Oryzias latipes: one gene and its partners. The protein of the gene in region 2 purifies or fractionates together with the protein of the main gene of each other region. This does not show direct contact. Links are inferred from orthologs where the notes say so. Each region holds a gene or a part of one and is shown on either strand. Other genes may lie near its edges. The genes, in order: cyth2, c7h1orf106 and cep170.

Region 1 (4,261 bases), on a different chromosome or scaffold from region 2:
TATAAGTCGCACCAGCCCAAAAATGCATTATAAAGTAGGAAAAAAACAGATAAGACGCACTGGACTATAAGTCCCATTTTGACGGGAAATTTATTTGACAAAATCTGAGGCTAGGGCTGCACGATATGAGGAAAACTCGCGATATGCGATATTGGTGATTAATATTGCGATAACGATATAATTTGCGGTATATAAACAAATATCAAACCAACCAAAAACATCATTTCCATTTCAATGCAACAGTTTAAAAATTATACTCCAAATGACCCTCGTCGACATAGGAGGCAAACATCAAAAATAAAAGGGCTCATTTGATTGATCAACAGCGTAAACGGGTCCTTCCGATTGGTTAAATGCATTAAGGTATTTATTTCATCTTTCAATATTTCAAGCGGCCATGAGTTTGTTTTAGCACATTTAACCCTTGTGCTATCTTAGATGACCCCCCCCCCCCTTACTTTGATGTGTTATTCCTAGCATGACAAAGGTGGATAAAGGTGGAAAGATTTCATGTAATCCATAGACACCAGTGAAGATCACAAATAATTGAAGAAAAAAGGTTCAGTGCACTGTCTAATGGGTCTAGATGACCCAACTCCCAATGTTAAAGTGCCTAGGATAGCACAAGGGTCAAGGTAACCATTTATTGCGATTTTCGCCGTCTTTTGCGGTATGCATATTGCAAAGCTTGATGTCGCGATAACGATAAATTTGCGGTATATTGTGCAGGCCTATCTGAGACCAAGAACTAATAACTTGCAAAACCTCATATGACACAATCATAGCAGACTGTTTATCTCATAATTTCACCGTAATTCTTTCTCATACTTATTTATTTATTCCTTTCATGAAGCATCATTGGCACACTAATACTCTGTTTTCATCCTGTATTTGTAGAAACCGTTGTCATTTTTATTGCATTTCTGAATCTATGAAATCATTGGAAAATAGAATATTATGTTGTTAGCCTTCAAGATCTTACTGTAAAAAAAGGTTTGCTGATTCTCTAAGTCACTTAACATACTCTTAACACCTAACATACCTCATACATCAAATTGACCCAGGAACATCATCTCTGTTCCTCACAAATGAACATAACAGGAGGGTTAACAATGTATTTATTTCAATTTATTTCTAATATAAATCGCTGCAGAATATAAGTCGCACCCCTTGCCAAACTATGAAAAAAAGGGCGACTTATAGTCCGGAAAATACGGTAAATTATAATTATATGGTTCTAAAGTTTCATTGCTTTGGATGCCTGGAACTACATGTGTTATGTATGCACACAATAAAAAGGTTAATATTGTTGCAATTATGAAAGTATTGCTTCCTTTTTTCTTCTTTTAAATACAAAACAAATTGATCAAGACAAAAGTTACATGAATTGTTCTTTAAGTATAAGATAGAATAAGGTATGTGACTCTGTGAAGCCAGATAAATAATACAGTAGTTTAAGATAAACTGGTGAAATGGGTCATATGGAACAAGAACACCAGTCAAATTAGAATTAAAGATGAGCTTTCAACTTATGGACAATAAGCACTAGAAATAATTATGCATCAGCAGAACACAGGTTTCTCTTTTTTGGTTTACCTGCCCTCTGTGCTAGTCTCCAGACCTTCTACTTCTAAGATTGCTTCTCTTAATTCTTCCCTGAGCCTCTGGATCTCTTGCAGCAGGATGCCCTTCCTCCTGCGGATGTCCTCCAGCTCAGAGCGCTCCTCTGGGCTCAAGTCTACTGGGACTGCAGGGGAAGAGAAGAATGATCGCACCACTACTGCAGCTGGACATCATAAATGGTTAAACTATGCCTAACCAATCTGGGTCAACCGGCTCAAGTGGTGGTAAGACAAAAGGGACTTGATTGAAACTGAAATATCAGCTGGGGGATATTATAAAAAAAAAAAACATTTTAAAAAAGACCATGGGGGGAGGGGGGCAGACATTAATGGATGGATTTTGACACACAATGATGCCACTCAAGGAAAAGTTTTCCATTCATTCAATTGTTGACTAAATAGTCCAAGCAAATAAGGAAATTTTTTACTGAGGTTGCCGGGTAAATATGACCAAAAACCACTGCACATCACTCTGGCCCAAGTAAAGACCTGTGCAAAAACATCTGAATGATAAAGGTGGTATTGTAATTTGTGCGTTGAAAAGGTTTAATAGAAATAAGTCACAATAGCTTGACCTTGTTCTTTACGGGTAAAATTCTGTAGCCAACTAAGAATCTCAATATAAAACCCAGTTGTTTCCACAAACCTTTGTTGTCAACATTTTCATTTGCAATAAAGTTGTTTACAAAAAAGATGATCCACAATCTTCTGCAGCGTGAAGCTGTCTCACAAATAATTTATTTGAACCACCAACCACGCCCACAGCCTGGTGTAAATAAGGTTTACATTTTAGAAGAAAAGCCTATACATTTAATAAATATTGTTGTATGCACATTAAAAGCCCGACTCAGTGGCAAGTTTAGATCTGCGACGTCAATTTTATTAAACTAGCACGACGAGGCAATCAACGACACACACTGACTGTGTCTTAGGTAGCTGTTTATTTCATTCAGTGCTTTGTTTTGTTGTTTACGTGATTATATAAAACAATTCACTCCTTTGATTTAAGGAAATATGTAAAGCCGTGTTTATCTTCATGTATATTTTACAACTAGCTACGTTTAGCTACGATATTATGGGCAAAAAAACGAAAGTAACCCCACTTACTGTAGTCCAGGTCATCCATTTTTGGCGCTTTACTTTTAGGCATAAATAAATCAGAGTCGAGTGTCATAAATGTAAAAAAAATTGGGATGTATAAAGTAATATATTCTCAAATCAAAGGAAAACTGAACAACCACTGGTAGCGAAATCCTGGGCCGTAGACAAAGAAGGTGGTAACGCCGGAAGTGGTAACTGAGTTTGTAGAGATGTACTTCCGGTCAGATGTTTTTCAAAATAATGATCTCTGGATTTGACTGTGTAAGGAGAATGACAGCAACATGTTTATCGGCTTTGTTTACACGGTCAGAATGAGTATACGTAATAAAATAGAAATATTATGTCGAGATGTAAATATTCCTTATTAAAAGTATGACTTAGTAAATAAAAGCCAGGTTTAATTTAAAAAAGCCTTGTGATAATATACAAAAAAAATCAATTAAAATAAATGAAACATTTAAAAACACTGATTTGTGGAGTTTATACATTGAAGCCATAATCTGTATTTTCCAAAAATTGAAATAAGGTAAACAATTTTTAGAACATTGTAGAAGAATGGTAAATACCACATTCAATTACTGAATGTGTTTAAAATTTGATTCACGAGTAAATTGTAAAATCTGTGTGAACGTCAATTACTAACTTTCTGATAAAGCTCTGTAAAAGTCTGCCTACCATCTGTTGGCTCTGGAACGCAAAATGAAGTCCTTTGGACCTTATGAGTCCACAAGTGAGTCCATGTCAAAGTCATAAACCTATTGAGTTTAGATCAGATTGTTTTCCAAACTAAGAGGCTATGAAAGATGCTTTAAAAGTAAACTGTTCAAATTAAGGAAGGGCAAAGTGATGCACACTTATAAGGCTTGCATATTTTATTGACAAAGTGTGACAAAAAAAAGACAAATTGATGAGCTACATTTATTTGAAAACAGAGCTAAAAACTGTACATTCTAATATGATTTCATTGGCTTAGTAATAATTACAATTTCTTTACAAGCAGCAAACTATAGACATCTTACTGGCATTGTCAAGGAAGGAATCAGACCAAACGTATGTTTAACACTATAACCCCATTCTGGCTCTAAACAACAACAGGATTAGAAAAGTAAGCTTTCATAGCCGGACTTTCAATGTGAACTAAAAAAGGTTTGGCAGATTTTAGAATTAAAGTGTGTGCAGATTCTCACATAATTCAAATTCACAAGAACAACCTGACATGCTGCACTTACATTATGTAGCTATGTAAGCACAAGGTTAGTATAGTGTTCTAGCTGCAATGTGAAGCAATAAACGTGTCAAAAATTTGACTCAATGTCAGAAATGAAGTTGAACCCATTAAGACCTAATGCAAAATACACATATTGCAGTTTCCATTATCTAAAGGGTACCTAGGAACTTACATTTCAAAAATTCATCAATTTAAAGACTTACTATAAAGATTTGGCCCAGCGTGGTATGCTGATTATGATTCAAGCAGTTGGCACATTATTTACTGACAGATCCGATGGCACATGCTGATGATTTATTCTCGAGTCCAA
Region 2 (4,446 bases):
AATAAAAGACTGTCATAAACGTTTGGAGGAGCTTTTACGTCAACATAAAGCTAGTAAACAAAACCCATGTTAGCAGAAAGGAAGTGTTTCTAGTCAAGATAAGAAGGGTGTGGGGACCACATTGAGACAGACATCACATCAGACAATAACAATGTGTCATCAAAGCTTCAGTGTGTAATCCTCTGCTCCTGTCTCAACTGCTGTGCTTGGAGATTGATATCAGGCCTTTTCCTGTTGGGATGAGGAAGACCCAGCATCTATGTGAATGAGAACATTCTCTAAAAGCATGTTTTTCCATATCCCATAGGTCTGACCTATTCAGCACAGTAACTCATGTGAACTGACTCAGCTATGAGCAGCCAGGAACACAATGAAGCAGACAGCTCGAGTCTGTAAAACAACACTGCAACAAAGGCCCTACATCCAACAAGTGACCTCAGTAACTGCAGCGTGCTCAGTATGTGCTGACAGCTCAGGCTTTAGCCGCGTTGTTGTGCGTTGATAGACGGTGAGAGGTGAAGACAGGAGCATGTGTGTGCCTGTGGCCTTCCCTGCCTGCAGACACATGGCTCCATGTTGCAGCACTCTAAGAACGTCGTCAGGAATCTAGGATGGTAACAAGACACAGGCAGGGTAATGTGGGACTTACCCACTTACACCCCATAACTGTCTGAGGACTTTCACAAGAGTCTGTGGTTGCAGATCTAGGCTGAGTGAGTGGGTGGGTTTGGGTTAAGCTCATTTAGAGCTGCAGAGTTTTGCCAAAAAATGTGAATGCCATTTTTCAAGGGTTTTCTTAGAACCTGGGTCCAAGGGAATTCTGTTCTGTTAAGGAAAACAAGAGTTTTTGTTTGATTGAGTGTGACAAGAAGAGTAGAACATGTCCTGAGGAAAACTAGCCCTAATAGGACTGTCTCCATCCAGCAGATCTGACAGATGCAGCATGTGAACACCATTACCTACAAACATGAAGGAGATCTAACCGTACCACCCATCCTCACAGTTCACTGGACCGTGTATCCGTAACATCTGCGGAAGTTGATGTTTATGGTAGGAGATCATGATGTGGCTTTACTGTCTCCAAGACTTCCACCACCACCCTTTCCCATGAGCACTTGGAGTTGCGTACTCCTGGATTACGGCCACCACCACCGTGCTCATTACCACTGTGGTTGGCCCTGGAATTACCGATGGGGACCAGAAACAGTGAAGGCTGCCTGCTCAAACCCTGTAATTAAGATTCTCATGTGAACGCTGATACTATGGAAGAACCCAAATGACTTTACAGCATGCCTTATTTAAGAGCCTGATGAAAAGCCAAAATCCATTCAGCAAAAAGGATCCTCTCTGAATGCAACAGAAGAGAAAAGTGTATCGACACAGAGCAGCAGCAGCAGGAGGAGATGGGATGAAAAAAAAGAGGTATTAGATTACAAAGGGCGTCACTAGGACAAGCTCATTTCCCTAGGATGAAGTGCTGGATCCTGATACAGTCTAAAGCAAAACATAAAGAGAAGACTCCTAAGCTAATGTGCACAGGCATTCTCTGCAGCACTCCAAGGTCCCTTTCTCTTGTCTCAGCCAGCACTGATCCAGATCAATTTGACTAAGAGAACCTTAGTCTTCCAGAGACATCTGTGAAATCTCATCAAGCGTCAAGCTAAGTACTGTCCCAACACAAGAGGAAAGATCTAGATCTAGATAGATCTAGATATCTAGATAGATAGTCTTTATTGTCATTGCAACATTTTACAACAAGATTAAGGTGCAAAAATAGTCAAATAGTAACAATAAAATCAAAATAAATGGTATAAAAACAATATAAAATACAGCAGACATAACCCACACACGCGTGAACATTCTGTCATAAATGAAAGATGTAAGATCGAGGCAATCTCCCTCTAATTTATAGTTGATTCCTAAATCATCTCAGACCACTTTTTTTTATTCTCCACAAGAGAATTTAACAGGTAAACACAGAGGTGTTGCCATTTGCACAACAGCGTCCCATCACACCTCTACACGTGGATTCAGTGAGATTGTGTTTATTGTAGTGCCGGAACAACAATAGCTACCAACTGCCCCATTGCCCCACAAAAAGTAAAAGCTACACAATTCACTTTAAGGAAGCTGATTAGACAAAACTAAAACCCATCTCACAACAGCAGTATTATATACAGCAGTATAGCATCTGGATGCTTCATCTGTCTGTAAATGTAGAATCAAAATGAAATTAAGCCTTACAAGAAAATGTTATATTTAACTTTTAATAAATTTACACGCAGGATACATCACTGTGCAACATTTAATTCAGCCAAAAACATTTACATAAAGTACATTGGTACATAAAACTACTGATTCATGTTGACCTTGACATATTTTATACCTTAGATTTATGCAAAAATATGCAAAAATTAATTTAAAATATTTTAAATGACTTTCAACTAAAATCGGTGCCATTTCCTTGAGTCCCTGACAAGAGCATCTTTAATTTAACGATTGGCAAATGTTTCTGCTTTTAATTCGTTCCCATTGCTGCCTTTAAATAATCTGTTAATCACCAGAGAGCCGTCTTTACGTACCTTTTACTTTGTGTCTTTCTCCTCTACAGCATCATTTCTGAAGCCGCTGAAGTTGAACAGACTTTCTCCGGTCAGATGTTAGCGGAGCGCCTGGGACATCTGTTTCAGAAAATTCCACTTTGAAGAGGGGTGGATTCAATAAAAACACAGTCCCACTGAACAGACAAAACTTTAAAAAACTACATCTAAGTACATTTATTTTACTCTTTTTAGCTTTTATATTTGATTCAAGGGTTGCAAGCCTAGAGTCCCTGTGATAACGGTTCTTGTTTGGTGCTGTTCCTGGCGGACTCCCCCACATTCGGTAATGGTTTCGTCTGACGCTTGTGCCTTTTCAAAGACGCTGTGCGTCTGTTGACACAGCACACGACTCGCTGAGGAGGGGAAAAATACACAAAGGGAGGGAGGAGGGTGCAAAACAGACACAACTTTATTTAAAAAATGAAAAATAAAGAATTAGAATTAGAATTAAGATGGCAAATGTATACAAGATGCAATCACCCCGACCATTCGTTTTTCTGTGAATCCACTGCCAAAAAAATAAATAAAATAAAATAATCCAGGAAAGCCCTTACACAAAAAGTTTGGTGAAAGTACACTGTAACATTTGCCAATATTTAAAAATAATAGAATATTTTATTTGAATGACAATGTGTGATTTTTGTACATAGCAAACATGTCATTTCCTATTTATTATATTTGTTTTTCGTCCAGGTGTTTAAAATAACAAAATTACCTTATCAGAAAAAAAGAAAAAAACATGCAGACTTTTTTATTTATTTTATAATTCCACATCTGTTGAGTTAAACATGATACACTTTTCATGGGTTGAGCTTAAACATTTCAGGACATATATGCATAAGCTTTTTTTGTACATCATATTCAAGGTTTATGATAAATTCACAAATTTACCTCCAAAGAGCAATTTTTAAATACTTTTTATGCCAATTCTTGAATGCTCTTTTTTGATTGAGAAAGTGATAGAACAGTCTAAACATTACTTAAACTGAGAGTCCAGCCTCAGCCAGTGCGTTCTGTGACTGTCCAAAATGTCTGCAGTGCCTTAATCAGACCTTTGGGTATTCCTAGCCCTCCTGAAAAGGCTCCACCAGATGGCCTGTCCTTTTTTCTCTTCGACCCGTGATGGAATGAAAAGATTAGCTAATTAAACAAAGTCCCATATCCGTGTGAAAGACCTGCGAGAGTCCGCAGAGAGAGGACTTGCCTGCAAATCAATCCCCAATGCTTTGAATTGTGTCCAGCACAAGACATTGGTGAAAGCCAACATGTCTTTTTTTTTCAAAGCAACACTTAAATGCTTGAAATGAAAAGGTTACAAGAGATCACCTCAACAAACTTGGAGATGCGGTTGGTTATGTTTGATAAAAGACAGTTCTGTTGGCAATCACATGAAATAAAATCAGACTTGGATGATTACAGCCCTTTTATAAGCAGTAACAATGTCTTTTAATCCAAGAATGCCAGAGGGCAAATCAAAACTTGCAAAAGATTACAATCATTCAGCAACCATAAAAATAATAATTAAAAAAAACATTCATCCTTACAGCATTGTTTCCTGTCTCCAGAAAAAATGAGCACTTCTTTTTCTCTCTAGAAACAGTTTAGGAATCCAGCTCAAAGTAGACTTGTGATTTTGGTTTATGCATGCATACACCCATAATAAAAAAAAGAGTTGTTCTTTGTTAATGTGTCTTGTAGTAGGCATTCAACATAAATATTTAGGGCCACTATGGTGAGAGTATGCACACACAGATGGAACGCTTCACGGCTGATCAAACGTCTGCGTGCGCCTCAGATTGTCCCTGACACGGACAAACTCTGGGATCTTCTGCTGGTTCTCCCG
Region 3 (3,651 bases), on a different chromosome or scaffold from region 2:
CAAAACAAAATCTCAGCATATTTACCCCTCTCTTTGTGGATGAAATTTGCTGCCTCTGCTCCAGAACCTTCTGGGTCCATCCTGGTATGACTGGCGGCTACACTGGCCCACTGAGACACCCAGCTAGAGTCACCGGTAAGAGCCTAACAGAGAGTGATGAAGATCGATAAAGGAACCACTGAACACATCATGAGAATTTACTGCTAAAAATTCTAAATCCAAAACTCAAAAGGAAAAAACAAGTAATCTTGTACAAATCTGCATCAATGAATCACTTAAAATTCAATATCATGTGGCAGGGATTTTAACGGCCCTCTTGCTCTGATTTGGTTCCCAGATATTAACGACTCTGAACGTTACATATACACAAAAACCATGTACCGTACTTAAAGGGCTTAAAGGATGGACAGAGCAGACACTGTCTCAGCACACTGACCCCTCCTCTTATGAAATAGCCTGGAGGGCTGAGTAAGTCTTCCTCATTTTAGTATGATCTAGGTCAGACTCAGAAGACTTGGCCTCCTCCCATAAACTAGCACGGGAAGTCACAGGAGTGATTGTGAGTCACGGTATAAACCTCAGCCAGGAGTGTTCTACTCCTAAAATGCGGTCGTTCACATCTACAAAGGTTTTTGTAGATCTACTATGAATGTAGCAAATAAAGAGGACATTCAATGAATAATACAAAGAGTCTACCTCTTTTCCAGGTACTCCACTCTCCTTTTCTTTCCCTGTTCTTTTCAGGTCGGATAAAAGAGAGTTTTCCGTATTATCCTGGACCCCAAACACCTGCAAGATGAAGATAAATTAAGATCAAATAAAAAAAAGGTAATAAAACATGTATAACTTGCACATGCAACATGTGTATGGAGTGATATTTCTGCCACTACGTAGCACACAAAACTTTCTAAGTTGCAAATGAAACTATTAAATATTTGCTTTAAATAATTTGTTATTCTGCTTTCATTTTTTTTTTTTGCTTTCAAAATTTTTTTTGCATTCAAAAACTTTTTTTGCATTCAAAAACTTTTTTTGCGTTTGCAAAACACATGTTTTCGCATGCGTTGTGTCAAATCTCCCTTTTTTTCGCATCTTTGATTTTGCTGAGTTAAGTTTCAGTTTGACATGACAAAGCTGCCATCAAACAGCTGCTAATTGGTCCAGATTCTAACCAATCAGGTGTCTCTGTCTCATATTGACGGTGCTTTTTTTTTTTAATTGGTTCAGAACAAAGGTGACATACAGCAAAAGAACAAGGAACAATAAACTGTACATCAAATGTTCAAAGTAAACGCCAAGGGATATACAAGCAAGAAAATAAACTTATATTAAATTATAAAGCTGAGCAAGGTGATACGTTTTAATTGCTTTTTTGTTTGTACTGGGGGAAATGGAATGTAAGTAACATCTAATTTGGGCTAGTAAATCAAGAAAATTAGGAGCTTTATTGCTGAATTTAGATTTGTAAATATATAATACTTGGTTAATAAAATCAGAAGATTTATTAAATAAAATTGAGATAAAAATGTATTAATATAATTAACGTAACCAAATAAGATAAGAAAACATAAGATCCCAGATTTTTTCAGTGTACTTGCAGGTCCAAAAGAAATGCACCAATGTTTCCTCAAACTGAGAACAGAAAGAAGAGTTTTTATTAATATCCCTTTTTTAGCATTTGCATATACTGATTTGTTGGATAAAACCTATGAATGATCTTGAATGAAACCTCTTGCACTTTGTTGTTTATAAGATATTTGTTTGGCAGAAGCCAAACCTTTTCTCAACACATTTGACCATGAAGTAAAGTCCAGAAAGTTATGGCCGGGGATTCCGTTTTTAGCTCCTGCTGGAACAGTCTTCGGATGGCTTTGTTTTGATTTGTCAAAGCAGAGAAGCAGAGTTTTTTTTTTTTTTCCGACAACAGTGTCCGTCACGTGAAGCTGTGGTTGGGGAGCAGACGGAGTAGGAGTTCCTTTATAAAGATAGGCGAGGTTGAGGGAAATGGCATCAAAAACATATTGACGGTGCTTGGAGGCAGACGTGGACTTTGTGTCGGTTTTGTTCTAACAGGATTCTGCCGTTTTCAATCCTTATGGCCCATTTCTCTCAGAGTAAAACCCAGAAAGAGCAGCAAAGCAGCTAAAATCAAACCAAGTTTTGTATTTATTTATGTCAGTGTAGTGACCAACGTGTATAAATATCTGCAGCAGAAAAAAAATGTCAGAGCTCCGACTCGGTCCGTCCAGCAGGAAGTAACATTTATAATTTGTGTCAGAACTATTGTTTTATTTTAATCAATAAATGTTGAAATATTAAGAGAAAATAGCATTTTTCCACGAGTAATTTTTTTCAATTTGGACAAACGCTTACGAGTTCTAAAACACAAGACACAGTAAAAATTGACATATAATTCAAAAATGCTTCTTCTGCTAAATACATTGAGTCCACTGTGGTGAGCCATCATTATTTTGCTTATTGCTGTTCATCTAATCCCAAACACTTGTGCAGCATAAAATAATATGTGCTTTATATCTTTTATTGTTTTGCTTTAACAAACAGATCTTAAAGAAAATCACACTTTTAACAACTACTTTGACAGATCACATACAGGCCCATTGATTTAATGTCAGCAGATAAACTTTAAAGTTTCAGGAGATCCTCAGCCATAAATTCAAAAATCTGACTTAGTAAAAATTAATTAATGCTAAAAAAGAAAGTATAAATTATTGTTAAAATGGTAAAAAAAAAAAGAAAAAGAAAAAGTCTTCATCCAAAGAGACAAAATCGAGGATAAAAAGAGCTGAAGAAAAAAGTTTTTGAAAGCAAAAAAAAAAAATTGAAAGCAAAATAAAAATAATTGAAAAAGCAAATATTTAGTATTTTTATTTGCAACTTAGAAAGTTTTGTGTGCAACGTGGTTGCAGAAATATCCATCCATACACGTGAACCAAATTTTAAAAGCACGTAATCACTTATTACTGTTCGGAAGGTTAACACGAATGTATATTTGGCTACAAAAAATGACTAATGCTGGTCTCTACTAAAGGATCAAATGACACACGAACAAACCAAAATCACACAAGCGTTTCACGAAAACGTGGGGAGAAAAGAGAGCAGACAGCTGTGGGCAGCTTACCAATTAACATGTCAGCTAATTACAGGAATTAAAATGGCAATGCTCCCAGCTAAGAACATAATGGACTCAGGCAGACTGAATGGATATATACTCCTCTAATTATGTCACTGCTGGTCACAAGCTAGCATCGACATAAAAAAACAGCAATTCAAGCTCACAGGCCCCGAAGATGCCGTTTAGTGAATACGGCTTTGAGTTTAAACATCTGAGTCTGCAGGTGACAATTTCACTCAACAGCTAGCTGTTGCTATTTCAAGAGATTATGCTGTTATTTTACCTACTTTATTTAAACTGTGGTTAAAACAACTAGCAGTTTGTCTTTGCTTTCCTTTTTTGATCTTATACTGACTGAACCACATTTTGCCTCTTTCAGATGCTTTCTTTGACCACTAAAGAGCTCTGCACCAAGAGGTGAGGCTGCAGGTTTTTTTTAGCCCCCCTAGGGTGTTATTTTAATAAGCAAGAACAGCGCTGGATGCAGCAGTTCACTGCAGGCAATACATTACAGAGCA

The links.
Region 1: the proteins of c7h1orf106 (region 2) and cyth2 purify together in Homo sapiens (co-immunoprecipitation; 3 studies listed by BioGRID and IntAct, counting the BioPlex papers as one, with this or other methods). This does not show direct contact. The link is inferred for Oryzias latipes from reciprocal best matches to the Homo sapiens genes INAVA and CYTH2.
Region 3: the proteins of c7h1orf106 (region 2) and cep170 purify together in Homo sapiens (co-immunoprecipitation; 3 studies listed by BioGRID and IntAct, counting the BioPlex papers as one, with this or other methods). This does not show direct contact. The link is inferred for Oryzias latipes from reciprocal best matches to the Homo sapiens genes INAVA and CEP170.

The regions. Positions count from the first base shown.
Region 1 is NC_019874.2:19,306,300-19,310,560, reverse strand, and holds the start of cyth2 (cytohesin-2), read right to left. Parts: upstream 2,920-4,261; 5' UTR 2,797-2,919; coding exon 2,730-2,796; intron 1,748-2,729; coding exon 1,597-1,747; intron 1-1,596. UniProt on the Homo sapiens protein: Acts as a guanine-nucleotide exchange factor (GEF). Promotes guanine-nucleotide exchange on ARF1, ARF3 and ARF6. Activates ARF factors through replacement of GDP with GTP.
Region 2 is NC_019865.2:11,211,804-11,216,249, reverse strand, and holds the start of c7h1orf106 (innate immunity activator protein), read right to left. Parts: upstream 2,897-4,446; 5' UTR 2,583-2,896; intron 1-2,582. Other genes in the region: protein FAM107B-like, read right to left, coding at 4,366-4,446. UniProt on the Homo sapiens protein: Expressed in peripheral macrophages and intestinal myeloid-derived cells, is required for optimal PRR (pattern recognition receptor)-induced signaling, cytokine secretion, and bacterial clearance.
Region 3 is NC_019873.2:16,496,624-16,500,274, forward strand, and holds part of cep170 (centrosomal protein of 170 kDa), read right to left. Parts: intron 790-3,651; coding exon 697-789; intron 144-696; coding exon 26-143; intron 1-25.